Linked DNA regions of Sus scrofa. The protein of the gene in region 1 purifies or fractionates together with the protein of each later gene. This does not show direct contact. Links are inferred from orthologs where the notes say so. Each region holds a gene or a part of one and is shown in the gene's direction. Other genes may lie near its edges. The genes, in order: CDC37, AURKA, HCK, CHEK1, SRC, serine/threonine-protein phosphatase 5 and AKT1.

Evidence for each region.
Region 2: the proteins of CDC37 (region 1) and AURKA purify together in Homo sapiens (affinity purification with mass spectrometry; 3 studies listed by BioGRID and IntAct, with this or other methods). This does not show direct contact. The link is inferred for Sus scrofa from reciprocal best matches to the Homo sapiens genes CDC37 and AURKA.
Region 3: the proteins of CDC37 (region 1) and HCK purify together in Homo sapiens (affinity purification with mass spectrometry; 3 studies listed by BioGRID and IntAct, with this or other methods). This does not show direct contact. The link is inferred for Sus scrofa from reciprocal best matches to the Homo sapiens genes CDC37 and HCK.
Region 4: the proteins of CDC37 (region 1) and CHEK1 purify together in Homo sapiens (affinity purification with mass spectrometry; 3 studies listed by BioGRID and IntAct, with this or other methods). This does not show direct contact. The link is inferred for Sus scrofa from reciprocal best matches to the Homo sapiens genes CDC37 and CHEK1.
Region 5: the proteins of CDC37 (region 1) and SRC purify together in Homo sapiens (affinity purification with mass spectrometry; 3 studies listed by BioGRID and IntAct, with this or other methods). This does not show direct contact. The link is inferred for Sus scrofa from reciprocal best matches to the Homo sapiens genes CDC37 and SRC.
Region 6: the proteins of CDC37 (region 1) and serine/threonine-protein phosphatase 5 purify together in Homo sapiens (affinity purification with mass spectrometry; 4 studies listed by BioGRID and IntAct, with this or other methods). This does not show direct contact. The link is inferred for Sus scrofa from reciprocal best matches to the Homo sapiens genes CDC37 and PPP5C.
Region 7: the proteins of CDC37 (region 1) and AKT1 purify together in Homo sapiens (affinity purification with western blotting; 5 studies listed by BioGRID and IntAct, with this or other methods). This does not show direct contact. The link is inferred for Sus scrofa from reciprocal best matches to the Homo sapiens genes CDC37 and AKT1.

Annotation. Positions count from the first base shown.
Region 1 is NC_010444.4:69,206,146-69,210,095, reverse strand, and holds part of CDC37 (hsp90 co-chaperone Cdc37), read left to right. Parts: intron 1-2,978; coding exon 2,979-3,260; intron 3,261-3,421; coding exon of another isoform or gene 3,422-3,595; coding exon 3,596-3,704; intron 3,705-3,823; coding exon 3,824-3,939; intron 3,940-3,950. UniProt on the Homo sapiens protein: Co-chaperone that binds to numerous kinases and promotes their interaction with the Hsp90 complex, resulting in stabilization and promotion of their activity. Inhibits HSP90AA1 ATPase activity.
Region 2 is NC_010459.5:56,962,130-56,966,079, reverse strand, and holds part of AURKA (aurora kinase A), read left to right. Parts: intron 1-568; coding exon 569-848; intron 849-3,159; coding exon 3,160-3,214; intron 3,215-3,950. UniProt on the Homo sapiens protein: Mitotic serine/threonine kinase that contributes to the regulation of cell cycle progression.
Region 3 is NC_010459.5:35,707,134-35,711,567, forward strand, and holds the start of HCK (tyrosine-protein kinase HCK), read left to right. Parts: upstream 1-1,439; 5' UTR 1,440-1,511; intron 1,512-2,152; exon of another isoform or gene 2,153-2,725; intron 2,726-4,434. UniProt on the Homo sapiens protein: Non-receptor tyrosine-protein kinase found in hematopoietic cells that transmits signals from cell surface receptors and plays an important role in the regulation of innate immune responses, including neutrophil, monocyte, macrophage and mast cell functions, phagocytosis, cell survival and proliferation, cell adhesion and migration.
Region 4 is NC_010451.4:52,775,848-52,779,797, forward strand, and holds part of CHEK1 (serine/threonine-protein kinase Chk1), read left to right. Parts: intron 1-1,601; coding exon 1,602-1,710; intron 1,711-2,595; coding exon 2,596-2,773; intron 2,774-3,068; coding exon 3,069-3,200; intron 3,201-3,950. UniProt on the Homo sapiens protein: Serine/threonine-protein kinase which is required for checkpoint-mediated cell cycle arrest and activation of DNA repair in response to the presence of DNA damage or unreplicated DNA.
Region 5 is NC_010459.5:40,515,798-40,519,747, forward strand, and holds part of SRC (proto-oncogene tyrosine-protein kinase Src), read left to right. Parts: intron 1-277; coding exon 278-433; intron 434-3,045; coding exon 3,046-3,225; intron 3,226-3,950. UniProt on the Homo sapiens protein: Non-receptor protein tyrosine kinase which is activated following engagement of many different classes of cellular receptors including immune response receptors, integrins and other adhesion receptors, receptor protein tyrosine kinases, G protein-coupled receptors as well as cytokine receptors.
Region 6 is NC_010448.4:52,371,849-52,376,397, forward strand, and holds the start of serine/threonine-protein phosphatase 5, read left to right. Parts: upstream 1-1,418; 5' UTR 1,419-4,549. Other genes in the region: HIF3A (hypoxia-inducible factor 3-alpha), read left to right, coding at 1,113-1,418. UniProt on the Homo sapiens protein: Serine/threonine-protein phosphatase that dephosphorylates a myriad of proteins involved in different signaling pathways including the kinases CSNK1E, ASK1/MAP3K5, PRKDC and RAF1, the nuclear receptors NR3C1, PPARG, ESR1 and ESR2, SMAD proteins and TAU/MAPT.
Region 7 is NW_018084979.1:3,045,416-3,049,365, reverse strand, and holds part of AKT1 (RAC-alpha serine/threonine-protein kinase), read left to right. Parts: intron 1-1,331; coding exon 1,332-1,460; intron 1,461-3,398; coding exon 3,399-3,510; intron 3,511-3,689; coding exon 3,690-3,837; intron 3,838-3,950. UniProt on the Homo sapiens protein: AKT1 is one of 3 closely related serine/threonine-protein kinases (AKT1, AKT2 and AKT3) called the AKT kinase, and which regulate many processes including metabolism, proliferation, cell survival, growth and angiogenesis.

The DNA of each region.
Region 1 (3,950 bases):
CCCAGCTGGGTACAGCCCCTCCTAGAGCTGTAAAGCCCATGCCAGGCAGGCTGCCACCCTCACCGCTCCAGGAGTCCTTTATTTAGCTTGGGCCTCCTGGCAGCTGCTCAGAGGATGCCGAGATTTCGATGGCTACCCAGCAGAAACCAGCAGCGTGGTACGTTCCTGCTGTCACCTGAGGCCAACCATAGAGAGCCCCTCATATTGTAGCGGGAAGGCTCCAGGGCGACGCAGGCCCATCATGGAGCAAGAGAGGTGACAGAAGATGCAAGGCATTCCCTGCAAAGCAAGGGCTTTCTCCCATCTTCATCCACATGGGAAAAGCGAGGCTTGTGATTGGCTGGGTTGTTCCTGTGGAGCAATAGAGAAGGGCTCAGGTCTCCCAACTCTCACCCAGCATGGGCCCGGCCCTGTGCTAGGACCTAGAGATCCAACCTCGAATAAAGTACAGAAGCAAGTTAGCAGACCATCCTTGTGGCCTTGGCCGTGACAATGGTGTTAACAGTGGGACGTGTATACTGAGTGCTGTGTTGCAAGTGGTTTCCTTGAAGTAACTCTTTTAGTCCTCGCAACAACTCTGTGAGGCCCCATTTTTTTGGAGGGGGGACACCAAGGCAGGGAGAGGTGTAAGCAGCTTGGCCAAGGTCACAAGCCAGTAAGTGCCAGTATGATGCAGCAGCAACCACTCCCAGTGACCCGCATTTACTCTGGGCTAAGCACTTTGAAGTACATTTTCTTATTTGAGCCCCTGTGTAGTCCCCAGAAAGAGATTGTCTGCCCGGACAGGCAGTAATGACATTAGTCAGCATGGAAATGCTGCTCACCAAGCACAGCTCTGGACTGTCTTCTTTATAACCCATTTTGTTTCTCCCGGTGCAACCCTGTGAGATTGGCACTGTTGTCTGCCTCTGACAGATGAGGAACTGAGGTTCAAGAATTGGCCCTGGGAACCCTTGGCCATTACATGGTGGCTCTGGGATATGACCCCAGGTCTAGGGCCTGAAGGACATCCACCAGTATCTCCTCACCTCATCTGATGATCACAGAGGGGCCGTTGGGGCTGAGTGGTTGAGTGGTTCTAGCAGGGGTGGGCTCCCTTTTTTTTGGGGGGGGGTCTTTTTAGGACTGCACCCGAGGCATATGGAAGTTTCCAGGCTCAGGGGTGAATTGGAGCTGCAGCCACAACAATGTCAGATCTGAGCCACATTTTTGACCTACACCACAGCTCATGGCAACACCGGATCCATTAACCCACTGAGCGAGGCCAGGGATCAAAACTGTGTCCTCATGGATACCACTAAGCCACAATGGGAACTCCGGGCGGTGGGGGGCTCTTGGGGAAGACTCTGATGAAGCTGAGACTTGGGGACAAGCAGATGGTGTAAGGGGAAGAGGGTTCCAGGTGGGAGGAATAGCATGTGCAGAGGCTAACAGGTATGAGAGGGCAGGTCCATCCAGGGAACCACAAGGGCCAGCCTTAGCCTGGGCCCTAACCTTCCAAGGAGGCTTGGTGCCCTCTGGACAGCTTGGGGGCAGGGGATCTGGGGTCCCATCTGAACCCAGATCCTCCAGATGGAGGTGTCAGGGAGGGCTGTGGGCAGGTGCACATGCGTTTCAAAGGCTTTGGCAGTGTCTCAGCCTGGAAAGCGGGGGGATGGGGGGAGGACGATGATCAAAGATGGTGGTGCCTTTCAGGGCTCAGTAGAGCAGACAGTGCTGGGAGCTGGGGAAGGTGATGGGGTGGGAAATGGGGAGGCCCAGTGATCTGATAGAGTTCTGGATAGGGGACCAAGGAGATGGGATGCTATCATTGAGCTTGGGGTGCAGAGGAGGAGGAGATCTGGGAAGCAGCATCTAGGATGAGGTGGGGACAGGAGGCTGGTGGGCACCATGCTGGGCGTGCTGGCCTGGAGACAGGCGAGTGGGCCTCTGCAGATCCACGTGTAACACCAGATGGAGCAAAGTGGAGAAACACCTGGAAATGAACACTGTCAAGATTTGGAGGCAGTTAGGGAGGGACAGGGCTAATGGCAGGCCTCAGCTGGGTGCAGGAGGTGGTGGCGATCTTCACTGAGGGAAGACACAGCAAAAAAGCAAGTTTGGGGAGCTCAGGTGGGGAATTCAGTTTGGGGCACAGAGTTGGAGGTGACTGTGGGAAGCCCGGCAGGCGGGGGAGGGTGGTGGAGTGTTACCGAGGGCAGCTCCAGGGAGGAGGGGAAGCCCGAGACCCTGAGGGGGTGGCCATGCCTCCAGCCAGCATCTCAATACTTTATTACATCCAGCATGCCTTCCCTGGATCCCTCCTATGCACCAGCCCCAGTTCCTGGCTCCGGAGACAACAGTGAACAGGTCCCCAAGCCAGTATCTTTGGAGGAGGACAGTGCTTAAGACATGATAAATAATTGTCACGGGACATTGTTGGGTCACGAGTGCTGAGGAGGAAGATCAAGCAGAGCAGAATAGGGGAGGTTGTGACCTTCAGTAGGGGGGTCAAGGAAAGCATCATCTGTTGAAGTCCTTTGAAGATGATAAGGATGCAAAGGGGTTGGCGGGGGTGGTCTGGGGAGAGAGCCTTCCAGGCCAAGGGAACAAAGAGCAAGTGCAAAGGCCCTGAGGTTTGAAGTGGGTTCATGAAGGTAACCCTAACCCTAACCCAGTGTAGGGTGAGCAGGAGGAGATGAGGGCATGGAGGTGACAGGACAAATCGTGCACAGCCTTGTGGACTGTGGGAAGAACTTGGGCTTGTGCTCAGCATGAAGTGGGAGCCATAGAGGGTTCTGAGCAGAGAAAGGACCTGCCCTGGCTCAGGTGTACCTCTAGGGGCGAGAGCGGAAGTTGGGAGTCCAGTGTAGGGAGGGTGGTGAGGCCACACTGTGGGGCCATTCCCAGGTGCCACTGCCGGGAGCCTGAGGCTGGGATGGGGCAGGGGTCAAGGGACAAGCCGTTCCCTAGAGCGATGGGCCATCCCCCTCCTGTAGGCCCGGGTGGAGCGCATGGAGCAGTTCCAGAAAGAGAAGGAGGAGCTGGACCGGGGCTGCCGCGAGTGCAAGCGCAAAGTGGCCGAGTGTCAGCGGAAGCTGAAGGAGCTGGAGGTAGCTGAGGGCGAGGGCGGCGAGGCCGAGCTGGAACGGCTCCAGGCCGAGGCACAGCAGCTGCTCAAGGAGGAGAGGAGCTGGGAGCAGAAGCTGGAGGAGATGCGCAAGAAGGAGAAGAGCATGCCCTGGAACGTGGACACACTGAGCAAGGATGGCTTCAGCAAGGTGTGTGTGGGGAGAGAGAGAGGGGTGTGTGGGAAGCTTTGCTTGGGGTGGGGGAGGTCCAGGAACAGAGGCCAGGTGCTGGGGTCAGTGGGGGAGGAGGAGATGGGGGGCTGGGTAGGTGAGGCACCCCACTGGTACCCCTCCCTCTGATCTGCCCCAAGGCCCTAGTCCGAGGCCACACCTGCCACGCCCACGCTCCCACCACATTGAGGTTCACGACGCTGTCACCACCTCCACCCTGGACGGGATGGGCGATGCGGCCGAGGCCCACCCGGCCACGTTCGAGGCGCTCCATGGCCTCGCTCCAGCCCACTCCCCTTCTCGCCCCACCACAGAGCATGGTCAATACCAAGCCTGAGCAGGCGGAGGAGGAGTCGGAGGAGGTGAGGGAGCAGAAACACAAAACCTTCGTGGAAAAGTATGAGAAACAGATCAAGCACTTTGGTGAGTTGGGCGCAAGGCCTCTCAGGGGGTTGGGGGAGGCCAGGTAGGTGGCGCCTGTGACAAGGGCTGGTCCTCTGCCTCCAGGGCCCTTCCAACACCTTGCCCATACCTTCTCACAGGCATGCTCCGCCGCTGGGACGACAGCCAGAAGTACTTGTCAGACAATGTCCACCTGGTGTGCGAGGAGACCGCCAACTACTTGGTCATCTGGTGCATTGACCTAGAGGTAGAGGAGGTGAGTGGAGC
Region 2 (3,950 bases), on another chromosome or scaffold:
TTCCCAAGTCATTGAGAATTCCCAGGAAGTGTTTAATATGCCTCCCTTTTTATTTTTACTTATTTATTTGTGTTTGTCTTTTTAGGGCCACAGCTGTGGCATATGGAGATTCCCAGGCTAGGGGTCAAATCAGAGCTGTAGCTGCTGGCCTACGCCACAGCCACACCAGATCCGAGCTGCGTCTGTGACCTACACCACAGCTCATGGCAATGCCGGATCCTTAACCCACGGAGTGTGGCCAGACAGGGATCGAACCTGCATCCTCATAGGTACTAGTCAGGTTCATTACCCTTGAGCCACGACGGGAACTCCCCTCCTCCCTTTTTAGATGAAAGCTTAGTGAGCATTCCCGTGGTTTTAGTGGGAGTTGGGCGGGTAGGAGGTGGAGGTGCACTTGGGTGTCTGCAGCAGACTCTCAGTGTCACCTGGGAGTGGTGATTAAAACCGCTGTCCCTTTCTGTCCCTCATCAGTGAGTGACATTGGTTATTACTAGGAGCAGACTTTGGGTTGTTGTCAAAATAGCTTTTGTTGGTGAAGGCCCTGAAGTTCATTTCCCCCCCATCCTAGACCACAGTTCCACCTGGCGATGGTCCAAAACGGGTTCCAGTGACCCAGCACTTTCCAGCTCAGCATCTGCCGTCTGCAAACAGCGGCCAGGCCCAGCGGGTCTTATGTCCTTCGAATTCCTCACAGCGCCTGCCTTCGCACACGCAGAAGCTCGTCTCCAGCCATAAACCAGTTCAGAATCTGAAGCAGAAGCAGTCGCAGGCAACCAGTGGCCCTCGTCCTGTCTCCAGGCCTCTGAGTAACACCCAGCAGAGTGAGCAGCCCCAGCCGGCAGCGCCTGGTGAGCAGCGTCTGAGCCTCCCTGGATAGCCCTTCTTCTGAGTTTCTGAAGAAGCACGTGTACAGGCGTGTGTTGATGGTGTAACCGTAGCGTTTCCATCCTTTCTGTTTGGATGGGGAGAAGATCTGATGTCCGGGGGGAGGTAGCAAGGTCTTCTGGGGGCCAGCCTGAGTCCCACCCTCGAGGGAGAGTTGGACAGCCAGGGAGGGCATGGTGCCAATCCGCTGATGGTATGGGGCGGGGGGTCGGGGCGCAGGTGCACTTGGAACTGAAATTCAAAGGTTTGCAGTGTGGGGGAAGTGGCGGGGGATGGGGTTTAGTGGATGGACTGACGCAGGCCAGGCAAAGTCGTGGTGAGCACTGCTGGCCGTGGAGTGGGGCTTCCTGCCTATGCATTGGGAAGCCGCTGAAAGGGTTTTGAGCGGAGGAGGGGCTGACTTGCCTTTCGTAGAAAGCTTATCAGGATGTGTGGAATGATTTGGAAAGTAGCGATGCTGGACTCGGGGGTCCGAGGAGGGAAGGAGGCCATTGTGGTTTGGGTCAGACATGACTGTGGCCTGAACCAGGTGCAAGAGGGTGGGTGTCAGCAGCAACTGTTCCCAGCTCACACACAGCAGGCTTCCTTCATCCATGCTGTGTCAGTCTGTCCTTGGAACCACTCTGTGGAGGCAGCCATAGGTGTGTGTGTGTCGTTTGTTTTAGGGCCACTCCTGCGGCATATGGAAGTTCCTGGGCTCCGGGTTGAATTGGAGCCGCAGCTGCTGGCCTACACCACAGCCACAGCAACACTAGATCCAAGTCACATCTCTGGGCTACGCTACAGCTTGGGGCAATGCCAGATCCCTAACCCACTGAGTGAGGCTAGCGATGGAACCTGCATCCTCACAGACACTGTGTTGGGTTCTTAACACGCTGCAAGGGAGAACGACAACATTGAGCTACAAGAGGAACTCTGAGGTAGCCATAGTTTTTAACTCAGTTTCGCAGGGGAGGAAGCTAAGACTTGGGAGCATCAACTTATTCAAAGACGTAGCCGGGCCGGAGAGGTGCAGGTGAATTTGAGAGCTCACTTAGGATGCAGTCTTGACAGAACTGGGCAATAAACCGGACACGAGGTGGTGGTTACACCGATGGCCTTAACTGAGATCATGAACCAAGGAGGGGAAGGTCCGGCGTAGGCCTGAATTCAGATATCTGAGCAGCGCAAACTGCTGCTGTTTGAGTTTGAAGTGCTGGAGATAGATGAGTAGAAAGGGCCCATGTAATTTCCCCTTGGCAGCTGGTACAGTGGAGGGAGGCTGGTGGTTGGCTTATGTTTTGTTGCACATTGAAGGTAGCAGATGGACAGTGGGCTGGCCAACCTGCTGGGGAAAAGTTGGGAGCCTGTTATGGATATGCAGATGGGTAATTCTGCTTTAGAAGCTCTTCATTTAGAAACTAAGGCTTCAGGGAGAAGCTATGTTGTCTGGAGTCTGAGTGATCTGAGGGCCTAACTGTATGTATTTGCTCATCTTTACTCGCAAGAGTTCTGTAAAGACTTTGGCAGAAGTCAGGTTAGGGTGTGGTAGTCTTTTTTTGTTTTGTTTTAAGAAAACTGAAAATGATCTGGATCTATCATTCTGGGAACACCACCAATATTTTTTGGTGACTTTTTTTCTTTTCGGCTATGCCTACAGCATGCGGAAGTTCCAGGGCCAGGGAGAGTTCCTGTCGTGGCTCAGTGGTGTACGAACCCGACTAGTATCCATGAGGATTAGGGTTTGATCCCTCACTCAGTGGGTTAAGGATCCATCGTTGCCGTGGGCTATAGTGTAGGCCGGTAGTTACAGCTCCAATTTGACCCCAGCCTGGGAACCTCCATATGCCATGGGTGTGGCACCAAAAAGACAAAAGACAAAAAAAAGAAGTTCTGGGCCAGGGATCAAACCTGCACCATGGCAGTGTCAACACTGAGTCCTTAACCACTAGGCCACCAGGGAACTCCCTGGTGACCATTCTTTGATTCATCTCTTTTCAAACATTTTGTTTTGCCTTTTTTTTTTTTTTTTTTCCCCCTTTCTTTCTTGGCTGCACCCACAGCACATGGAAGTTCCCAGGCCAGAGAGTGACTGAGCTGCAGCTGTGACCTATACCGCAGCTGTGGCAATGCCGGATCCTTAACCCACTGCACTGAGCCGAGGATCAAACCAGTAATACCACATAAACAAGCCAGATCACTAACCAAGTGTGCCACAGTGGGAATTCCTCAAAGCTTTTTAATTTATTCTGTATAGTTATTCCAAAAACAGATTTTTTAACTTATTCTATCTAGGAAACAATCCTGAAAAGGAAGCGGCATCAAAACAGAAAAATGAAGAATCAAAAAAGTAAGTTTTATTTTATTTACAAAGTTCTGTACTATCCTTCTGCTAGAAAGTACTATGTAATTGCAAATTTAGTTATGGGATCATTTTTTAAAAGAAATAGTTCCTTTTATTCTCACTTACAAAATATAGATGTTTCAGATTTCTGATCTTTAAAACAGAGAAGGAATTTTAATGACAGATTTCACTAGGGACTTGAGTTTTTCTTATTTTTCAAAATTGGGAAAAGCTTGTATCAATCTGTTACAGAAAGGTAGTAAAAGTTGCTCTCCACTCTTAGAAGTAACTACAGCGTGTGGTTTATGTATGCTTCTATACTTCTTTGCTAGTCAAGAAGTGCAGGTTTGTTTGAAATGGCAATAAAGTGTCCTGTTGCAGAACTGTAGAGACATACATGACTGTGTGAGTATTTTGAAGGTGTTAATAGAATTATTGCACTTGGTCTTCATGATAGAGCTTGGCTGTATTTTCCTCTGCTCTCAATGTCTGAACTGTCTAGACTCTGGAATGTCGTAGGAGCCAGGAATGAACCCACAGCCTTCTTTGCTCTCGATGCCTAATAGACTTCCCAGGAATCTATATCTGGTGGTTCTCGCCCCCCGACCCTGTGGGATCCATCCCGCTGGCTTGACGGGAGTGATGCTCTACCCCAGTGTTGGCGCCTCCTGGGCTAGAGGAGGCTGTGGTTAGTCTGATTGGGCTTGCAGGTGGTTTTTTTTTTTTTTTTTTTTTTTTTTTG
Region 3 (4,434 bases), on another chromosome or scaffold:
TTGTATCTTCCAAATAATCAACATTCACTTGAATCCATGTCTAAGGTCTGCTTCTTGGGAATTCAAATTAAGACCAGTAGATGGTGTCAAGGGTCAATCAAGATATGGGGAAGTGACCACTGTGGCTCAGTGGAAACAATCTGACTAGTATCCATGAGGACGCAGGTTCCATCCCTGGCCTTGCTCAGTGGGATAAAGATCCGGCGTTGCCATAAACTGTGGTGTAGATCCCAGACAGCGACTCAGATTCTGAGTTGCTGTGGCTGTGGCGTAGGCTGGCAGCTGCAGCTCTGATTGGACACCTAGCCTGGGAACCACCATATGTGGTGGGTGCAGCCCTAAAAAGCAGGGGAAAAAAAAAAAAAGATATGGGGAAGTGGTGGGAGAGGAATCCAGGCAGCAGCCATTACGTAAGCATTCTTGGTCAAGCAATTCTTTATGAAATTCTCACATGGGTTCATAAGGAGACACGTATGAGGCGGTCCATTGCAGCTGTGTTTATGGTACTGTGAAGTAGTGTGCCGTCTGGGCATCCATGACTAGGGGAATGGATACATAGACTATGGAGGATGTAGACAACTACCTTTGGCAGCATAGCTAGATAGTAACAGTATCGAGTGATAGAGTGGGGAAAAAAGGCAAAACTGAATACCTACCACCCAAGTAAATCAAGCACACAATCAAAACATTATCTGCTTTTTAAAAGTGCAGGCATGTATTTAGGTACACACACCAAACACATAAGAACAGGGTTATTATCTTTCTCATTCAAGTTTCTGTTCTCCCTTCCCACCCCTCCTCAGATATTTGGTTATGTCTGGATACATTTTTAGCTGTCACGAATGGGGAAGAGGGTTTGCTACTAACATCTAGTGGATGAAATTCAGGAATTCTTTTCAATATCCTACTATGCACAGGACAGCCCCCAAGACAAAGAATTTCAGGACCTAAAGGTCACCAGTGCCATGGTTGAGAAGCCCTGTGTAGCCCAGAGCCCAGCACAGTATTGCTGAATGAATGAATGAGAGATGAAGGTGGCCTGAACTGGCTAGGAGCAGTGGGACTACAGAGACGCAGTAGGATTCTGGAGGTGTGTTCAGCAGAATTTTGGGTGAGAATCCTTCTCTTTCCAGGTGGAGATATGCTGTGCCCTTGCCTGGCGCTGGGCACATCTCTTTCATGTGCGGCCTCCACTTGCCGTCACTCAGTTTTGGAACTCCTCTGAGCTACCCGGAAACCGACAAGGAGTGAGCTAGGCTGGTTCCTGCGGGCAGGGCACTTTGCATGGATTTGAATAGCGAGGGGCCTGCAGAGCGGAAACCGCAGACCACAGAAGGGATGGGAAGGCTTAGGACCCGGCCTGGGGGAGGGGCCTGGGCTAGAAGGAGGGGTTTGGAATGGTGGGGAAACAGGTCGAAATGCTTGGAGGAGGGGGAGTGGATTTAGAATCCTGTACGAATGACGACAGTGGGGTGAAGATCCTCCGGAATCGGTTTAGAATCCTTTAATAGGTGGGATCAGAAATCCTGGAGGTCAGGAATGGAATCTTTGAATGGGTCGATGAGAATCTGGAAGGGGGGGGTCGGGCGTTTAAAGGGTATTAAAATCCTGTGAGGGAGTTCCTGATGTAGCCCAGCGGGTTAAGAACCGATTAGTATCATGACGATAGGGGTTCGATCTCTGGCCTCGCTCTGTGGATTAAGGATCCAGCATTACGGTCAGCTGTGGTATAGGTCGCAGACGAGGCTCGGATCCCGAGTTGCTTTGGCTGTGGCGTAGGTCGACAGCTGTAGCTCCGATTTGACCCCTAGCCTGGGAACTTCCATGTGCCGCGGGGTGCGGCCCTAAAAAGAAAAAAAAAAAAAAAAAATCCTGTGGGAACAGGTTAGGATCACCTAAGAGAGAGATTAGAATCTTTAGGATTAGGGTCATAAATCTTGAGGCCTGGGTTAGAATCTTTTTTAGAAGCCTTTGGTTGGCCGGGATTAAAATCCTGGGGGCAGAACTAGAAACCTCCCGTAGGCGAGGTTAAAATTCCTTCCGCTGTGAGAATCAAAATCCTTCAGGGCAGAATTAAGACCTTGGGAGGAGATGGGGTGTTGGGGTTCTGGGGAGGGCGGGGTTTAGAATCCTTTGGGACGGGGTTAGGGCTTTGGGAGATGGAATTCGAATACATTAGAGAAGGCATTAGGTTATCTGGGGGTTATGACCTTTGAGAGACCGGTTAAAATTCTTGGAGGCGGGGTTATCCTTCTGGAAGGAGGTTAGGATTCTTGGGGACAGGGTTAGAAGTTTTGGATGGGCGGGGTTTAAAAATAATTTCCTACTTGGTGGGATTAGGATTTTGGGGAGGTGGGGACGGAGATTAGAATAACCCGGGTCGGGTTAGAATCTTCGGGGGCGGGTTTAGGATACTCGGGGGCGGGGTTAGCACCACTCCGGGCGCGGCTAAAGCGCCCAGATGGTCTGTGGGCGCCAAGGCGTCCCAGGTCCTAGCCCGGGCGCAACTCTGGGCGATTGGGAGGGACGCAGACAGCTCAGCCAAGAGGGGCCCCCAAAAAACAACGCACCGAAACACCTCGGAGCGCAGCCCCAGCCTCTTCTCCAAAGTCACTCTCTCTTCCCTGCGGCACCGGCGCCCGGGCACCCCGGGATCTGCCGAGCTGGGGGGTCGCTCCAGTTGCGAGGACCCGGGCTGCCCACCGGAGGAGGAACGGGCGCCCAGGTGAGTTTCTCGGACCCAGGATCGGGCGACATCAGCTCGTCACCTTGGCCTGACGGTCTTCGGGCTGCGGAGGGAGCCCAGGGTGGAGAGCGGGGAAGGTTGGGCTGCAGCTGGAAGGGACCGTCGGGGAAGCGGATGACAGGTGGCCGGATGGGGGGACCGAACCCTCCGGGAGGATGCCCAGATAAATAGCAGAACTGCCTGGCTGAGAACCTGGGAAGGCTCGAGAGTGACTTTAAGCCTGAGCCGCCACTTCTCTGGGCGGTCCAGCTTCCCTTTCTGCAAAAGGAAAAAAAAAAAAAAAAAAAAAAAAAAGTCTTCACAGAGCCCGGGGAGGGGAAGACCCTTACGATTCCTGGTTGGGGTGGATGATGGTCACAGTCACGGCGGGTTGGCAGCCATAGTGGGGAAGGGGACAGCTGGCCGTAGGCGTGACGTGTGAGCCACACCCAGGCAAGGCTGCAGCTGGGTCTGCTCGCTGAGCTTGCTCCTCCTCCCACGCTGGGCCCTGATCCCCAGCAGTCTAGGTTAAACCCCAAAATCCCCTGGACAGACCACAGGATGCCTGGCCCCTCCCTTTCCTCCTTGTGAGACCTTGGACAAGTCACCCTCCCTTTCTAAATTCCCTTTCCTCATCTGTCAAGGAGCACTATCAATTCTTCCTTCCAAGGCTGCAGTAAGCTAGAGTGTGTTAGAGATCACTATTGTGGCAGTTTAGTGTAATAGTTAAGGAAGAGGTTTCTGGGAGCAATCTGCCTGTTGAACCTTGGGCAGGGGATCTGGTCTTTCTGTGCCTCCGTTTCCACAACTGTAAGATGGGGATAATTAAAATAATGGTTGTGTCATAGGGTTGTTTTGAAGGTTAGACTGAGTTATTGAAGGAAAGCTCTTAAAGCACTGCCTGACAGGTCGACGGCTTAATTGGTATTCACTACTATCACAGCTTTTAAGGATTAACCAAGTGGTTCTCGAACTTTATCTGTGCATCAGTAGCACCTGGAAGGCTTCTTACAACCCAGGTTTCTGGGCCTTGACCCCAGAGTTTGTGATGGAGTAGGTCTGGCACTGGAGCCCAAGAATTTGCATTCCCAGGTGATACTGATGCTGCTGGTCCAGGAACCACACTTTGAGAACCACTTTGGACGGCACAGACAAGGGCCTCAATAGATAGCAGTTCTCAAGAGTTCCCTGGTGAGTCAGTGGGTTGAGGATCTGGTGTTGTCACTGCTGTGGCTCAGGTTTGATCCCTGGCCTGGGAACTTCCACATGCTGAGGGCAAGGTCAAAAAAAAAAAAAAAAAAAAAAAAAGTCATTTAACATACAGCCCTCTGTCTCAAAAAACTATAACTGTGCCTTGACTGCTGACTGGGTCCCAGAGTTTTCTGAGATGCTCTTCCTGGGTTTAAATCCTCAAATTTGGCTCAAATAAAATTTTCCATTAGGAGTTCTCGTCGTGGTGCAGTGGTTAACGAATCCGACTAGGAACCATGAGGTTGCGGGTTCCATCCCTGCCCTTGCTCAGTGGGTTAACGATCCAGCATTGCCATGAGCTGTGGTGTAGGTTGCAGACGCGGCTCGGATCCCGCGTTGCTGTGGCTCTGGTGTAGGCCAGTGGCTACAGCTCCAATTCGACCCCTAGCCTGGGAATTCCATATGCCGCAAGAGCGGCCCAAGAAAATAGCAAAAAGACAAAAAAAAAAAATTTTCCA
Region 4 (3,950 bases), on another chromosome or scaffold:
CCATGACCTTTGGTGTAGGTGGCAGATGAGGCTCAGATCTCAAGTTGCTGAGAATGTGGTGTAGGCCAGCAGCTGTAGCTCCGATTCAACCCCTTGCCTGGGAACCTCCATATGCCGAGGGTGCGGCCCTAAAAAAAAAAAAAAAATTTGAATTGAATTAATGGATTAATAAATAAAAAGTTTGGCTAAACCTAATCATGTTTAAGAGGAAGAAGCTAAAAAAGTCTGAGAAGGAATAAAAGAGTGTCAAAATCCCTGAGAGGCAGGAGGGTATGGGCTCAAATACAAGTGGAGGAATGAACAGTTGATGGGAGAATGGAAGGGAGAAGAGGATGGGTTGGAATGCAAGTAAGTTAGCAGGTTTGGTAGTGGCAAGTTGAGGGAGCTTCCACTGGCTTTAGTTTCCTTGTGAAATGAAAGGTGGTATCATATGCTAAGTAGTGAGATACTGGAGGGTGGTCTTGGTAATTTGATAGGAGTGTAGAAGTTTTGAAAATATCATTGTGGGTAAAGGGAGAGGAAACTGATTACAGAAACAGGACTGACTGTCAGAGTGAGGATCCAGCTGAGGGTTGCAGCCATGAATTTATAGTGGTGATATAGTCTGTACAGTGGCTATTCTTGGTAAAGCTTTTCCAGAGGATCAAAGAATGTTAGAGCAGATTTATAATGTTCATTGTCACTACCACAAATTATTTTTTATATTTTAAAAAGTTTCGATCCCTTAGCTGGGTCTCTTGGTCTTAATAGAACATTGTTCTGTTACCATAAATGGTACCATTAAAATTATGGCCTTAATACGATACCCTACACTTGGAACATACTTACAGGTCAGGATTTATTAAATGTGTAGTTTGTACAATTTGGCAGGTGAGTCCCAGTAAATTCATTATGACCACATTTCTCCTAAAATCATGTAGGAAGAGCCACTATTTGTTGCATAAGTATTTTGTGTTAAATAAATGAATTTAGATGTGGTTTCACTTCTTCAAGTTGCCAGCTGGGTTTAAAAAATATCTCCCGGGGAGTTCCCTTCATGGCTCAGTTGTTGGTTAGAAACCATGAGGCTGCAGGTTTGATCCTGGCCTTGCTCAGTGGGTTAAGGATTCAGCATTGCTGTGAGCTGTGGTGTAGGTTGCAGATATAGCTTGGATCCTGAGTTGCTGTAGCTCTGGCATAGGCTGGTGGCTACAGCTCCAATTCGACACCTAGCCTGGGAACCTCCATATGCTGTGGGAGCGGCCCAAGAAATGGCAAAAAGACAAAAAAAAAAAAAAGTCTGCCAGAGTTCCCACCGTGGCGCAGCGGAAACAAATCAGATTAGGAACCATGAGGTTGCAGGTTCAATCCCTGGCCTCATTCAGTGGGTTAAGGATCTGGCGTTGTCATGAGCTGTGGTGTAGGTCACAGACGCGGCTTGGATCTGGCATTGCTGTGGCTGTGGTATAGGCTGGCAGCTACAGCTCTAATTCGACCCCTAGCCTGGGAACCTTCACATGCCATGGGTGCGGCCCTAAAAAGACAAAAAAAAAAAAAACAAAAAAACAACAAAAACTGCCTAGAAAACTTGAAAGCATTTGTATATATATTTTCTCTTTTAGGGGCAAAGAGGCCCCGAGTCACTTCAGGTGGTGTATCAGAGTCTCCTAGTGGATTCTCTAAGCATATTCAATCCAATTTGGACTTCTCTCCAGTCAATAGTGCTTCTAGGTAAGACTGATTATAAAAGATCAAGAGTAGTTCCATGTAATAGTTCACATGAAACATAATACATGAATATGTTATTAAGATGAGAAGTTCCCACTGTTGCACAGTGGGTTAAGAATGTGTTGTTGCGGGAGTTCTTGTCGTGGCGCAGTGGTTAACGAATCCGACTAGGAACCATGAGGTTGCGGGTTCAGTCCCTGCCCTTGCTCAGTGGGTTAAGGACCTGGCGTTGCCGTGAGCTGTGGTGTAGGTTGCAGACACGGCTCGGATCCTGCGTTGCTGTGGCTCTGGCGTAGGCCGGTGGCTACAGCTCCGATTCAACCCCTAGCCTGGGAACCTCCATATGCCCCAGGAGCGGCCCAAGAAATAGCTAAAAAGACAAAAAAAAAAAATAGAATGTGTTGTTGCGGAGTTCCCCTCGTGGCTCAGTGGTTAACAAATCCGACTAGGAACCATGAGGTTGCGGGTTTGATCCCTGGCCTTGCTCAGTGGGTTAAGAATCCGGCATTGCCGTGAGCTGTGGTGTAGGTTGCAGACGCAGCTCAGATCCTGCGTTGCTGTGGCTCTGGCGTAGGCCGGCGGCTACAGCTCCGATTTGACCCCTAGCCTGGGAACCTCCATGTGCCTCGGGAGCAGCCCAGGAAATGGCAAAAACACACATACAAAAAAAGAATGTGTTGTTGCCACAGCTGTGGTGTAGGTTGCAGCTATAATTCAGATTCATTCCCTGGCCCAGGAACTTCCATAAGCCACTGGTGTGGCCGTAAAATAAAATAAAAAAAAAAAGATGAATATAATTTTTATCTGTGAGAGTGGAATGGTAAAGTGATATATGAAAGGCCTGATGAATTTTATTTAAATATATTTTTCTCCATATCTTAATGCCAGTGAAGAAAATGTGAAGTACTCCAGTTCTCAGCCAGAACCACGGACAGGTCTTTCGTTATGGGACACTAGCCCTTCATACATTGATAAACTGGTACAAGGGATCAGTTTTTCCCAGCCCACATGCCCTGATCATATGCTCCTGAATAGTCAGTTACTCGGCACCCCAGGATCCTCACAGGTAAGGGAATTTAGTTTTTCAAATAAGTAACGGCAGCCCTTTGATTTTTTTTTTTTTTTTTTGTCTTAAAGTCACTCTCTCTTTTTTTTTTTTTTTTGTAATGTATAAATCTAAGAAATATAGTATTAACATGATAAAGTTTATTTATTTATTTTTGACAAGTGGAAGAGAATTAGGGGAGACATATATATAAGAATCTTACATTGGAGAAAAGAATTTTCAGACCAAGTAGCTATAATATGACTGCTTTTGGTGATAAATCTGATTTATTCAGCTTTCCTTTATTGACATGTAGAACCCCTGGCAGCGCCTGGTCAAAAGAATGACACGATTTTTTACCAAACTGGATGCAGACAAATCTTATCAGTGCCTAAAAGAGACCTGTGAGAAATTGGGCTATCAATGGAAGAAAAGTTGTATGAATCAGGTATGTTTCATTGGTTTTCATTATAATTTTTCCTGAAGAAAAATTTATATATTTGTGTAAAAGGCTATCATTATCAGTGTATTTTAAAAATATAAAGTAGGAGTTCCCGTTGTGGCTCAGTGGTTAACAAATCTGACTAGGAACCATGAGGTTTTGGGTTCGATCCCTGGCCTCACTCAGTGGGTTAAGGATCTGGCGTTGCCGTGAGCTGTGGTATAGGTCGAAGATGAGGTTCGGATCTGGCATTGCTGCGGCTGTGGTATAGGCTGGCAGCCACAGCTCCGATTCAACCCCAGGCTGGGAACCTCCATATGTTGCAAGTGCGGCCCTGAAAGGCCAAATAAATAAATAAAAATATAAAATAATTGGTTTAATCTGTAAAAGAAACAATTGAAATGGAAGGAATTTAAGATCTTTACCTTAAGAAAAAGTGTTTCTTAAAAGATTTCTGTAAGGTTATTAAAAATATTATGATGCTTGTTGTTATTTTCTTAAAAACTATGTAATGTGCTTAAATTGTAACAGTTAACAATGGACTCCCTGTCCTTCCTCCCAATTTTTCTTGTTTAAATACTATAGTATATTTATAACATTGTCATTCTAATCTGTCTCTAAACTTCAAAAATCTTAGTATCATGAAAAACAGAGAGGAGTATCTTGTATTAAAGGAGACTCAAGAGACCTGATTAATAATTCAATACATCATCTTTCACTAGATCATGGGTTTAAAGGCAAAAAGCTACAAAGGAT
Region 5 (3,950 bases), on another chromosome or scaffold:
GCTCCCTGAGGACAGGGTTCCACTGGACTTGTCCCCCACTGGCTCCCTGGCACCTGCCCAGGTAGCCACCCCTTAAAGTCTGATGAATGAATGAATGCCTCAGGGAGCAGGCGTATGAGGCAGCATGGGCCTGTGTCGGGGAGGGTGTGTACACACAGGTGTGTCCACCTGGTCTGGAGGGCATCATGGATGTCCCCAAAGCCTGTATGCACTGTGGAACCCAAAGGCCCCGGGGCGCTTGCCTGGCCTGAACTTCACCTCCTGCCTCTGTCTTCAGAACACGCAGATGGCCTGTGCCACCGCCTCACCACTGTGTGCCCCACGTCCAAGCCGCAGACTCAGGGCCTGGCCAAGGATGCCTGGGAGATCCCCCGGGAGTCGCTGCGGCTGGAGGTCAAGCTGGGCCAGGGCTGCTTTGGAGAGGTGTGGATGGGTAAGTCCTTGCCCCTGTCCCCGCAGGGGGGGCTTTGAGAACCAGTGTAGTCTCTGCAGCAGCTCAAGACCTCATTAGTTCTCCCAGCCTTCACCTTCATGAGTCTCAGCACCTCTGCTGAACAGTGGGCCCCGTTTTCAATATGGGTGACTGGCAGCAAGCTGGGGTGTAAACTGCCCCCCTCCACAGACCGTGGCACCTGCTTGGGGCGGGGCATCGTGACTCCTCAGTGACTCGCCGTGTAGTCTGGGCCAGGTGGGTGGCTTCACTCTGAACCTCGATCTTCCCAGCTGTAAAATGGGGCTGGTGATAGCAGGACCCACCAGTGGGGCTGAGAGAATGCTGGCCCCGCGTGCGTCTGTATGTTCGCTCTCCGCTGTGGGACAAGAAGCCTCAGTTCACGTGAGGAGCGCTGGGAAGTGCCGGGTTTGGAGTATTCCAGGCCTGGGAACAATCTCCTGTCTAACTCTGGACAAATGGCAAACCCGTCCCTGCAAACACACATCTCGCAGCCCCGACAAAACCCAGACTCTCTTCTGCTGACTGGTTTCTTTTGACACGGTTCAGGGTGAGGGAGGCAGGGTAGTGAGCCTGCGTCCAGCGGAGGGATCGCCTGTGCAGGTCCCAAGGTCGCTCCACCTGAGCCGCAGTATTCGCTTGACATCACTGCCTCCACTTTCCTCCCTTCAGAGGAAGAGGTGGTGGAGGAGAGCAGGGGGTTCCTGGGTGGCAGGCACCGCAGGGGCAAAGGCCTGCCGGCTGGAGGTCCAGCAGAGTCAGGAAACGGGAGGTGTTGGCGGGAGAGGGGCCGGGGTGAAGAAGCCAGCTTCTAGGCACAGACATGTGAGCAAACCCTGAGACATCCACAGCATCAGCTGTTCTGGTGGCTGCAGACCTGCTTCCTGGCTTGGGCATGAGTGAGGCCAGAGGAGGAGGCTCTCGTTCCTCCCTGGATGATCCAGGTTCACTAGTGAATCCCCAGATGGCCTGTGTCTGGAGGGCCACAGACATGGGCTGGGCCCCAATCCACAGATGGAGGCCAGGACAGGAAGGGGTAGGTAGGCTCAAGGCCGCTCAAGGAGCCTCAGGCCTGCCTCGGAGAAAAACTCAGATTAAATGCACTGGTTTAGAACAGCTTCCCCTGAGGCCTCACAATTTAAAAGCCCGGAGTTCCTGCTATGGTGCAATGGGATTGGCAGCGTCTCTACAGCGGCCAGAATGCAGATTCGATCCCTGGCATTGGGTTAAGGAGCCGGTGTTGCTGAGGCTGCAGCTTGGTTCCTTTTTTTAAAGCTTTTTAGGCCAGCACCTGCGGCATATAGAAGGTCCTGAGCTAGGGGTCGAATCGGATCTGCAGCCTCCTGCCTACATCACAGCTGGAGCAATGCGGGATCTGAGCTGCATCTGTGACCTACACCACAGCTCATGACAATGCTGGATCCTTAATGGCAATGCCAGGGCCAGGGATTAAACCTGCATTCTCATGGGCACTACTTGGGTTTGTTTTCACTGAGCCACAGTGGGCACTCCTCGGCTTGGTTATGATCGCTGGCCCGGGAACTCCATATGCTGTGGGGTGGCCAAAAAAGAAAAAAACACTCCCCCCTAAAAAAAACACACCAAATGATAATAATAAAATGGCAGTCGCTGCTGTTATAACTGTGTCCTCACAATGAACTTGGTCTAGTGGTTAAAATATCGTTTAATCCTCACACAGCCCTGCAGGTGGATACTATAGCGTCCCCATGTTCCAGAGGAGAAAATTGAGGCTCAGAGAAGGGAACTGACTTGCCTATAGTCCCACTGCTGGGCAGGAGGCAGAGGTGGGAGCCAAACTTGGTGCAAAGTCTTCCTTTTGGGGGGAGTGTGTCTTGATACCAGCTCTTGCTCTCCTGGCCTTGCCTTGAGACCAGCTCAGCCCCCACCTCAGCCCCACCATTACACATTCCAAATTTGCTAAAGCTTGAGGCACCTTTGATGTGTGACCCAGAGGGAACGTGACCACCCAGGAGAGAGCAATTGAGTTGGAACCATGTCTCCCAACTCTCAGAAGAACGTGCTGCCTTGGGGACGTTTCTCATAATCAGAGTCCTAACCACAGCTACTATTTCTTGAACATGTACCAGAAACTCATTTAATCTTTGGGCAGACCTGTGAAAAGCGTCCTGCCATTATGCCCATTTTGCAGATGGGGAAACTGAGGCTCAGAAAAGGGCTGGGCTGGAGTTCCCACTGTAGCTCAGTGGAAACCACCCTGACTAGGATCCATGAGGATGCAGGTTCGATCCCTGGCCTTGCTCAGTGGGTTAAGGATCCGGCATTGCCGTGAGCTGTGATGTAGGTCACAGACATGGCTTGGATCCTGCATTGCTGTGGCTGTGGCATAGGCTGGCAGCTGCTTCTCCAATTCCATCCCTACCCCGGGATCTTCCATATGCCGTGAGTGTGGCCTTAAAAAAAGAGGCGGGGGGGTGGATGCTGGGCCTTGGCTGGACTTGGCACATGGCTAGGGAGGCCAGAGCTAAACTTGGCATCCAGGAAGGCAGATCCTGGTCCCCTATGAGACGGGCATGGGGGTCTTCCACTGAGACAGCTCCCCCCTTTCCATACAGGGACCTGGAATGGCACCACTAGGGTAGCCATCAAAACCCTGAAGCCTGGCACGATGTCTCCGGAGGCCTTCCTGCAGGAGGCCCAGGTCATGAAGAAACTGAGGCATGAGAAGCTGGTGCAGCTGTACGCGGTGGTGTCGGAGGAGCCCATCTACATCGTCACGGAATACATGAGCAAGGGTGAGGCCCTCGTGGCGGCGCGGAGACGCGGGCAGCCCCTCGCTGGGGTCCTCACCAAAGGGCAGGTGGGACGCGCTTCGGGCAGGTGTAGCGTGTCTGTCTTTAAATGTGGAAGGGAAAGAATCAACTTCCCATGTCAGTGGAAGGTTAAACCAAAGAGTGCCTTTCTTGTTTCGTTTTGTTTTTAAGTGATCTCCCACAATGCACCTGGTATCCCCGCTTTTGCTGGTTTTCTAAAGCTGTGGGCTATTCCAGGCTTGGGAGGAGAACTCCCCCGATCCTCCAAGCTGAGCTACATTTGGGTCAAGTTCCTGGCTTGACCTTTACTTAGTTTTAAATTTAACTTTTTTTTTTTCAAAATTCCACTTTTTGGAGGTATGATTTACATATGATGAAGTACACCCGTTTTAGGCATCCAGTTCAGTGCATTTTAACAATTGGATACACCGTGCCTCTCTTAGAACAATCAAGATCTAGAGCTCCATCACCCCCAGAAAGCACCCTTGTACCCTCCAGAGACAGCACCATCTGGCCTCAAACCCAGACAAGCCACTGATGGGCTTTCTGCTTCACAGATTTGTTTCATAGAGTTTCATATATGTAAATCTTTTACATCCAAGGGTTTTCCTTCTTGCGCTGCGTATCAGTAGTTCGTTCCTTTTTTATTGCTGAATAGTATTCCTTATATGGCTGTGCCCCAATGCTGTTTGCCTGGAGGTCCACCT
Region 6 (4,549 bases), on another chromosome or scaffold:
GAGGTTTTCTTTTTTTCTTTTTTGTCTTTTTAGGGCCACACCTGTGGCATATGGAGGTTCCCAGGCTAGGGGTCCAATGGGAGCTACAGCTGCTGGTCTACACCACAGCCACAGCAATGCCAGATTGGAGCCATGTCTGCAACCTACACCATAGCTCCCAGCAATACTGGATCCTTACTTAACCCACTGAGCAAGGCCAGGGATCGAACCCACAACCTCATGGTTCCTAGTCGGATTCGTTAACCATTGAGCCATGATGGGAACTCCAATGTCGTTATTCGTTTATCGTCAGTCATGCAGGGCAGGGGTCCTCCACTGTGTGTGCGAGGCTGGGCAGTGGCTGGGCAGAGAGAGCCGACATTTATTTAGTGCTCACTTTGTGCCAAGCTTTGTGCTAAATCTGTTATGTAAGTGATCCAATCGATTCCCCTCACTGGAATGCCAGCCCCGTGAAGGCAGCAAGTTTCCTCTGTCCTGTTCACTGCTGTGTCCCCCGTGCTTGGCACACACCAGGTATTCAGTAAGTTTTTGTAGGGGGGGCTGTGCCCACAGCATTTGGAAGTTCCCAGGCCAGGGATCAAACCTGAGCCTCAGCGGTGAGAACACCAGATCCTTAAGCCATTAGGCCACCAGGGAACTCCCTCCCCTCAATAACTATTTTTTGAATGAGTGATTCTCATGAAGGAGGTGGGTCTAAGTATCCCTGTTTTCCAGATAACAAGAGCTCACTGAGCGCTGTTCACAGCGCTTTACATGGATTCACTCAATTACCCTCCTAACAGCCCTGGGAGGGAGGTTCTGCTCTTAGCCCACTTTGCAGACGGACGAGGTTAGGTGAGGCACGGAGAGGTAACGTCACCTGCCCCCGGGGCATACAGCAAGTGAACAGTAGAGCCTGGATTCAAACTCAGGCAGCAACTGGCTCTGGGCTTCCTGACTCCTGCCTTAAACATCCTGGACACCTGAGGCTGAGGGAGACCGTGCCCAGGATTTCACTCCTGGTTGAATCCAGGCATGCCAGCCTCGCCAGCCATACTCTTAACTGTTTGGAAGGGAGGCCGGGTTAGGGTGCATGACTCCTGTGAATCGCTTATCTTCCGTCTCCCCCACAGGCCTGGGCCCCTCCCTGCTCTCCCTCTCCCGGGATGAGGACGCCGCCCAGTCCAGGAGCCACTTCCAGCCAGCGGCAGACTTGGCCCAGGCCCACTGAGCCCAGCCCTCTTCCCACCTCCCTCCCGCCCCCCGCAGAGAGGACGCCAATCATACTCCAAGCCGGCAGCCAACGCACAGGGTGGGGGTGCCGGGAGAGGGGTTCCCTCTCCTCTCAGGGGCCCCCACCCGCCTTGGGCCTACCTCAGCCCCCACCCCTCCGTACCCCCTACTGTCTGGGGCGCTCTGGAGTGGTCTCAGCTCAGTGACCTCTGGGAGGGGGTTCCTGGCCCCCTCCTGCTTCTCTCAGGACTTCCCTTGGGGTTCTCAATACCGGTTACCTCATCCCTTTCTCCAGCTCTCTCGGCTTTGCTTTCAGTAATCAGGGGTTGGGGAGGGTGGGGTTCAGAGCTGTATTTGCAGGCTTGGGGGAGTGTGGATAACCATCACCAGGTTTCTTTCCATCTTTCTTTCATTCTTATTTTGATTTTTGTTGTTTTCATTATGTTTTTAATCGCTGCAAATTACCTGCGGTTCATAATAATGTGGAACTCTCATCTTCCCCCCCGCCCCCGGCCCCAACTCAGGTGTCAATGGGGAGCGGGGGCCCTCTGGGTCAGATCTCACACCTCAAGATAGATTTCTGATCAAGCCCTTAGCTTCCCAAGTGGCCCCTCAGCTCTGCCCACTCCTCCCCCCTGGACTTCTGCTGGCCCCTCCCTGGCGTAGACACCAGCTCCATTGGTGGGCTTCCACTGGGGGGGGGGCCTCCACTGGCTACACCTAGGACACTTAGCTGGAGCCCCCAACCTCTGCTTCCAGACCTTAAACAGCAACACTCTATGGTTCTAGACCACACAACCCCCAGTGTGGTCTGCTTCAGGCCTTGCAGCCTCCAAAAGCTCTGATTCCAGATCTAACAGTCTTCATTTCTTTCTCGTTTTAGAATGCGCAACCTCCGAAATCGATTTTCCTGTTGCACAGTCTCTAAGGTTGTCTGGTTCTAGGCCTCACAGCCTCCAACTCCCACAGGCCCATGACCATCAGCGTCCTCTGGCTCTAGAGCTCTCCCCATAAAGATCGCTTGTTCTCGATGGTACATACCCCAACTCCTGCTGATTCTGGCTCTTACGGCCAATGATTTCCTTTGATTCTGGACCCTGCAACCCTAAGCTTTGAATTGCTTCTAGTCTTCCTGATCTGTAATGCATTTGATTGGTTCCAAATCCAGGCTTCCGAATGTCTAAATCATTTTGATTCTAAACCTCAAGATGCCCAGCTCAATTCTTTTTTTTTTTTTTTTTAATTTTTATTTTTTATTTATTTTCCCACTGTACAGCAAAGGGGTCAGGTTATCCTTAGATGTATACATTGCAATTACAGTTTTTTCCCCCACCCTTTCTTCTGTTGCAACATGAGTATCTAGACATAGTTCTCAATGCTATTCAGCAGGATCTCCTTGTAAATCTATTCTAGGTTGTATCTGATAAGCCCAAGCTCCCGATCCCTCCCACTCCCTCCCCCTCCCATCAGGCAACCACAAGTCTCTTCTCCAAGTCCATGATTTTCTTTTCTGAGGAGATGTTCATTTGTGCTGGATATTAGATTCCAGTTATAAGTGATATCATATGGTATTTGTCTTTGTCTTTCTGGCTCATTTCACTCAGTATGAGATTCTCTAGTTCCATCCATGTTGCTGCAAATGGCATTATGTCATCCTTTTTTATGGCTGAGTAGTATTCCATTGTGTCCAGCTCAATTCTTTTTCAATGCTACATGCAAGACTTGCTTTTCTCATCAAAAAGAAGCAAAATGGGTTTCCCGTCTTGATCTTATACCAAGTACCTTCAGAACCACACTTTTTTTTTTTTTTTTTTGTCTTTTTGCTATTTCTTGGGCCGCTCCCGTGGCATATGGAGGTTCCCAGGCTAGGGGTCGAATCGGAGCTGTAGCCACCGGCCTACGCCAGAGCCACAGCAACGCGGGATCCGAGCCGCGTCTGCAACCTACACCACAGCTCACGGCAACGCGGGATCGTTAACCCACTGAGCAAGGGCAGGGGCCGAACCCGCAACCTCATGGTTCCTAGTCGGATTCGTTAACCACTGCGCCACAACGGGAACTCCAGAACCACACTTTTTAGTTCATTTTTGCTCTAGACTTTAGGATCTCTACTATCTACTGGGTCTGGACTATATAACCTTTACACCTTACAGTTTCCAGGGCCCTCTGATTGCGGATCTGATGATCTCTCTTTTCTCTGGTTTTAGAAATTGGCTTCGAATGTCTTCTGATTCCACACCTCATCCTATACCTGCCTGGATTCTAGACAATCTCCAATTCCCCCTCATTCCACATCTTATGGCTCCAAATCACCCTGCATCTAGAACTTGGCCTTCACACATCTTCAGATTAGAGACCTTGCCCTATAAAATTTTCTGGTTCTAGGCCTACTGCTCTAAACTCCTGATTCTAGAGCTTATGACCCCAAATTCCTTTTGGTTCCAGAACTTGGTCTTAAATTCAGTTCTTACTCTAGAAATTCCTCTGGTTCTAGGCCTCACAGCTTCCAAGTGCCTCTGATCTCAGATCCAAATTCTTCTGATTCTAGAAATCAGCCTCCAAATGCTTCTGATTTGAGAGTCTGGACCTCTCCCTGTAGACTCCTCTGGTTCTGAATCTTAAGACCTCTGACTCAGATTCTGGGCTTCCCACCCGACTCCACTTGCTCCAATTCCTACTCTTAAGTCTTCCTATTCCAGATCCCCCCCTCCAGGTCCTTGTGCTAGTGGACTTCATGCTCAAGCCTCTTCATTCTCAAGCTCCTATCCCTAAAATTTCTCCGTCCTAGAACTCCCTCCATCCCCCACCTCTCAGCCAGCCAGATGTGCACGTACCTTTACTTATCCGGGGAACCTGGGGCTCCCTCACAACCCGCAGACTTCCCCAGCCGCGCAGGCACACGCACAGCCCTTCTGCATATCATGGGGTGGGTGAGAAGACAGGTCTCCTCAGTACTCCGCCACCACTTATGTGTCCCTGCCCCACCCTTCTTTCTACGATGGTGCTACTCTTACCCTTGAAGAGGCCTCCCTCTCTCAACCCAATTCACCCCCTTTTTGGAAGGCACTTCTCACTCTTTTGTCCAGGGATGGCCTGTCCCGATTGGTGCTATGGGGAGAGAAGGGCCTGACCCCTCCCTCCCTCTGGGGGTGACCTGGGCCCTCAATGGAGGGAATTGTGCTGGGCTGGGGGAGGGAAAGGGACTGAACCAACAATGCTGGCTCTGAAACCCACTAATCTTTAAACTCCTATAAAGAGCTCTCCTTGGTAGGCACCAGCGCTCTTGTGTGTTGACTCATCTGTAGGGTCACGTCACCAGGTGTGGGTGCACTGGGTG
Region 7 (3,950 bases), on another chromosome or scaffold:
GCCGCACAGCCCTGGAGCCAGTTCTGCTCGCCAGCCCCCTGCGCCAGCGGGGAGGGGGGTTGGGAGGCTGGATGGGCCCTGTGGCTGGGGGGGGGGGGTGCCAGGCCCAGGGCAGGAGCTGAAGGTGGCTGTACCACCGCCTTTCCAGCCCGTGTCCCCACAGGCTTGGAGGCTCAGCAGAGCTGGGTGGAGGCAGCGCTCTATGTGCTGGAGGTAGGGGCGGGTCACTGGCTGGCCCTGGGTCCTCTGTGTAGGTGGTGTCCAGGCCTGGTGGTGACCCCTGCCTGGGCCCCCTGGGCAGGGACAGCTGCAGTGGCTGGAGCCTCTGTCTGTCTCTGGGGCACCCATGCAGAGCAGGGGCTGGGCAGCGGGTGGGAGCAGGAGCAGGCGGGGCCGGGGGCAGCCAGGGGTCTGGGACGGGCCTCCGGGTGCCTGCATCCAGGGCTCAGGGACCCCGTCCGCTTTCCCGGCTGCTGCCCGGTGACCCTCTGCGGAGGCGGCTGCCTACTTGGGAAGTTCAGTGTTGTTGTTCAAACTCCTTGCTTGGCAAAATGTAAATGAAACATTTTTCCTGGGTGTCAGTATGAAAAATGGCAGTCGCTGGAACATCACAGGACATCTGCTTGGTTCTGAAGCGCGAGCGCCTGTTCACCGCTGATGCTGCAGAACTGGGGGGAACTTTGCTGAGGACCTGGGTGACCCACGGGCGGGATGCAGGGTCCAGGACGGCAGGTCCCAGCCTGGCTCTGGCTTCCGCGGGATGCCCACGACTGCTCTGACCCCTGGACAGTGCGTGGCGTTGTTCCCGGGCGCCCACCCTGGGGACGGGCTGCAGGTGGCTTGTGTCTGCCGGGCAAGCCCATGAGTCCCACTCTGAGTGTGCGGCCCGCCCCCTCCCACTGGATGCCAGGCTCCGTCCTCTCGCCCGGGCTTGAGCGGGGGGGCAATTCTGGTGGGCATAACTGTTGCAGCCGCCACCTTGCGGGAGCCAGGGTGGTGGGGGGAGCTCTCGGCTCTGAACCCCCTGGGAGTGGCTGTCGCTGGTGCCTTCCCTGTTGCTGGAGACCTGCTGGCTTGGTGCCGCCTCCTCCAGGAAGGCCCTCTGGACTGGGCTGGCCTCCATGTCTAGGTGACCCCAGGCCCCCTTTCCAGCACAGGTGGGGGCGGGCTTCCCATCCGAGGTGGGCGCTCTGCCACGCCGAGCCCTGCCTCCTGCCTCCCCTCTGCTCGCCCTGGTAGGCGTCAGGGTCTGGGCGTCGAGTTGGGGCGCGCTGGGCGGGGCGCGGGGCGCGGCGGGCGGCACAGGCCCTCACGGCGCGCGCGTGTCGCAGGCGAGTACATCAAGACGTGGCGGCCGCGGTACTTCCTCCTCAAGAACGACGGCACCTTCATCGGCTACAAGGAGCGGCCGCAGGACCTGGAGCAGCGCGAGTCGCCCCTCAACAACTTCTCCGTGGCGCGTGAGTGGGGGCCCCGAGCCGCCCGGGGCCGGGGCCCGCGGCCCCCGGCCGCGGCAGAGCTGGCGGGGCTCTGCCCGCGACGGCCCTGGGGCCCTGGGGCTGCAGGACGGGGGGCGGGGGGGGGAGGGGGCGGGGGCGGCCGGCTTCCCACTCCCCAGCGCAGGGTCTCAGACGCCCCGGCCCCCCACCCCCGTGGTGGCGCGTGGGCTCCGTGCACAGCCGGGGCCGGGCGTCTCAGACCTGCCGAGCTGACCCAGGGCTGCTGCGGCCTTGTCCTGTGCCCGCAGGGGGGACCCAGGCCTGGAGCCCCACAGGGGGGCGCTGCCCGGGGCTGGCCCAGGCTGTGAGCCCAGAGAGGGTGCCTCTGGGTGTGGTCGGAAGGGCAGAGCACTGCCTTGGCTCTGCCCCAGGCGCCTCCTCAGGTGTCCCCATCCGGCGGCTGGCTCTGCCCTCTGGGCCACGTGCCCTGGGAGCCCGGGGTCCTCCAGCTCCCCCATCCCACTATGTTCTGGTCCAGGGTTTCAGAGGGGCCTGTCCCCAAGCCGACGGACTCCCAGCCTCCGGGCCCCCAGAGGTGGGGCCGTCCTGGTACGGGAGCCCGTCCTGGCGCAGGGGCACAGCCAGCATACCCCACTCCAGGGCGCCTAATGGGAGGAGCAGAGGCCCTGCCCTCCGAGGCCCCAGCCTGGGGGGCTCCTTTTGGGGGTGCTTTACTAAGGCCCCATTCCTCTGGGCCCTGAGCGCTCCCTCCCCCGCCCCCACCCGGCTCCTTAAGTCTCAGCAAAGCGGCGGGTAGAGTAGGGACTGGGTGAGGGGAGGTCACGGAGGCAGACACCTGCCCCAGCCGCCTCAGGGCCCATGGGAGCCCCCCAGGAAGGAAGTTTGGCTATGTGGGGTGCTGCCTTACTGGGCAAACGAGGCCCCTTGGGAGCGATTCCCAGGCTGAAATGCCGGGGAGTGGGGACTCTCAGGGGTCATGGGTGGGGGCACCAGCCAGAGGGGCTTCCTCGGCGCTGGGCGGGGCTGGGGCCTTGAACCAGGAGCAGAGCTGGCGGGAGGGGGAGGCGTCTGTGTGGGGCCTCTACACCAGGGGCTCTTCCTGGTGGGGAGGAGTAGTCGGCCCTGGGCTGGGGTGGGGTGGGTGTCAGGCACCTTGTCCTGGGAGCGGCTGGTGGGCTCCAGTGGGCTGAGCACGTTGGGGAGGGGAACCCAGAAAGCTGGCCACAAAGCTTCCTCCGTCCCCTGCCCACAAGGCTGGGCGCCAGCCCCCCTCCCGGCCCCCAGGCCTGGCAGACCATTCCTCGCTCCCTTGAGCTCTCGGCGGAGCCTGCCTGGGGCCCCTCACGGTTGCCAGGGCCTGGACGCTGGAATGTCAGGCCCCTGCGCGGGCCCCACGGCCCCCTCCGCCTCGCGCGGGCTGGGCCAGCATCGGCCCCTCTCCAGGCCTGGGGCGCCCCCAGGTCCCGGGCTGCAGGTGTGCCCGCGCTCCTGTTAGTACGGCTCCTGTTAAGCCGCGTGTGCCTCCGGGGTGTGGGCCTCAGAGGGGTGGGGGGAGACAGCCCCGGCGGCCTCCAGGGAGGACAGGCGGCCTCTTCGAGGGTGAGTCGCCTCCAGCCTCCGCGTGGGACTGGCCTCGCGCCTGAAGGGGGGCGGCCGGGCCGCTGTCCTCGTGTGCCGGGGAGAACGGGGGCCAGCTCCTGTCCACGCGGGTGCCTCCGCCCTGCGGGCCCCTCCCCAGGGCCCCAAACGCCTCGCCTTCCGGGGGGCTGAGGGCGGTGGCCTGGCCGGCGGAGGGGGCGGGGAGTTGTTGGGAGACTGAAGGAAGGCGCCCCAGAGCCCCCCCCCGCCGCCACCGGGCGCCTCTGAGCTCCGAGCAGGGTCCCAGCTGCGGGGGGCGGGAGGGGGGGTGCGGATGGACATGGCCGCTGCCTCCACCAGAATGCCAGCTGATGAAGACGGAGCGGCCGCGGCCCAACACCTTCATCATCCGCTGCCTGCAGTGGACGACCGTCATCGAGCGAACGTTCCACGTGGAGACGCCGGAGGAGCGGTAGGCGCGCCCTCCCCACCGCTCCTGGCCCCTCGCAGCCCCCGCGGGCCGGCCGGCCCCCGTCGTCAGCGGGGTCAGCGGGCCGTGTCCCTGGGTCTCCGTGGGGGCTCTGGGCTGGGGCTCCCGAGGCGGGGAGGCCCGGGCCGGGTGGGGCTGGGGCCTCACCGACCGCCCTGCAGGGAGGAGTGGACGACCGCCATCCAGACGGTGGCCGACGGGCTCAAGCGGCAGGAGGAAGAGATGATGGACTTCCGGTCGGGCTCGCCCAGCGAGAACTCCGGGGCCGAGGAGATGGAGGTGTCCCTGGCTAAGCCCAAACACCGCGTGGTGAGGCCCCGCCCCTGCTCCCAGGGCTCCGTGGTCACAGGTCCCCACAGATGGCCCAGGAGAACCTTGGCCCTCGGGTTCCGACCGCCCAGAGCGCCGGGTCAGAAGCGAGG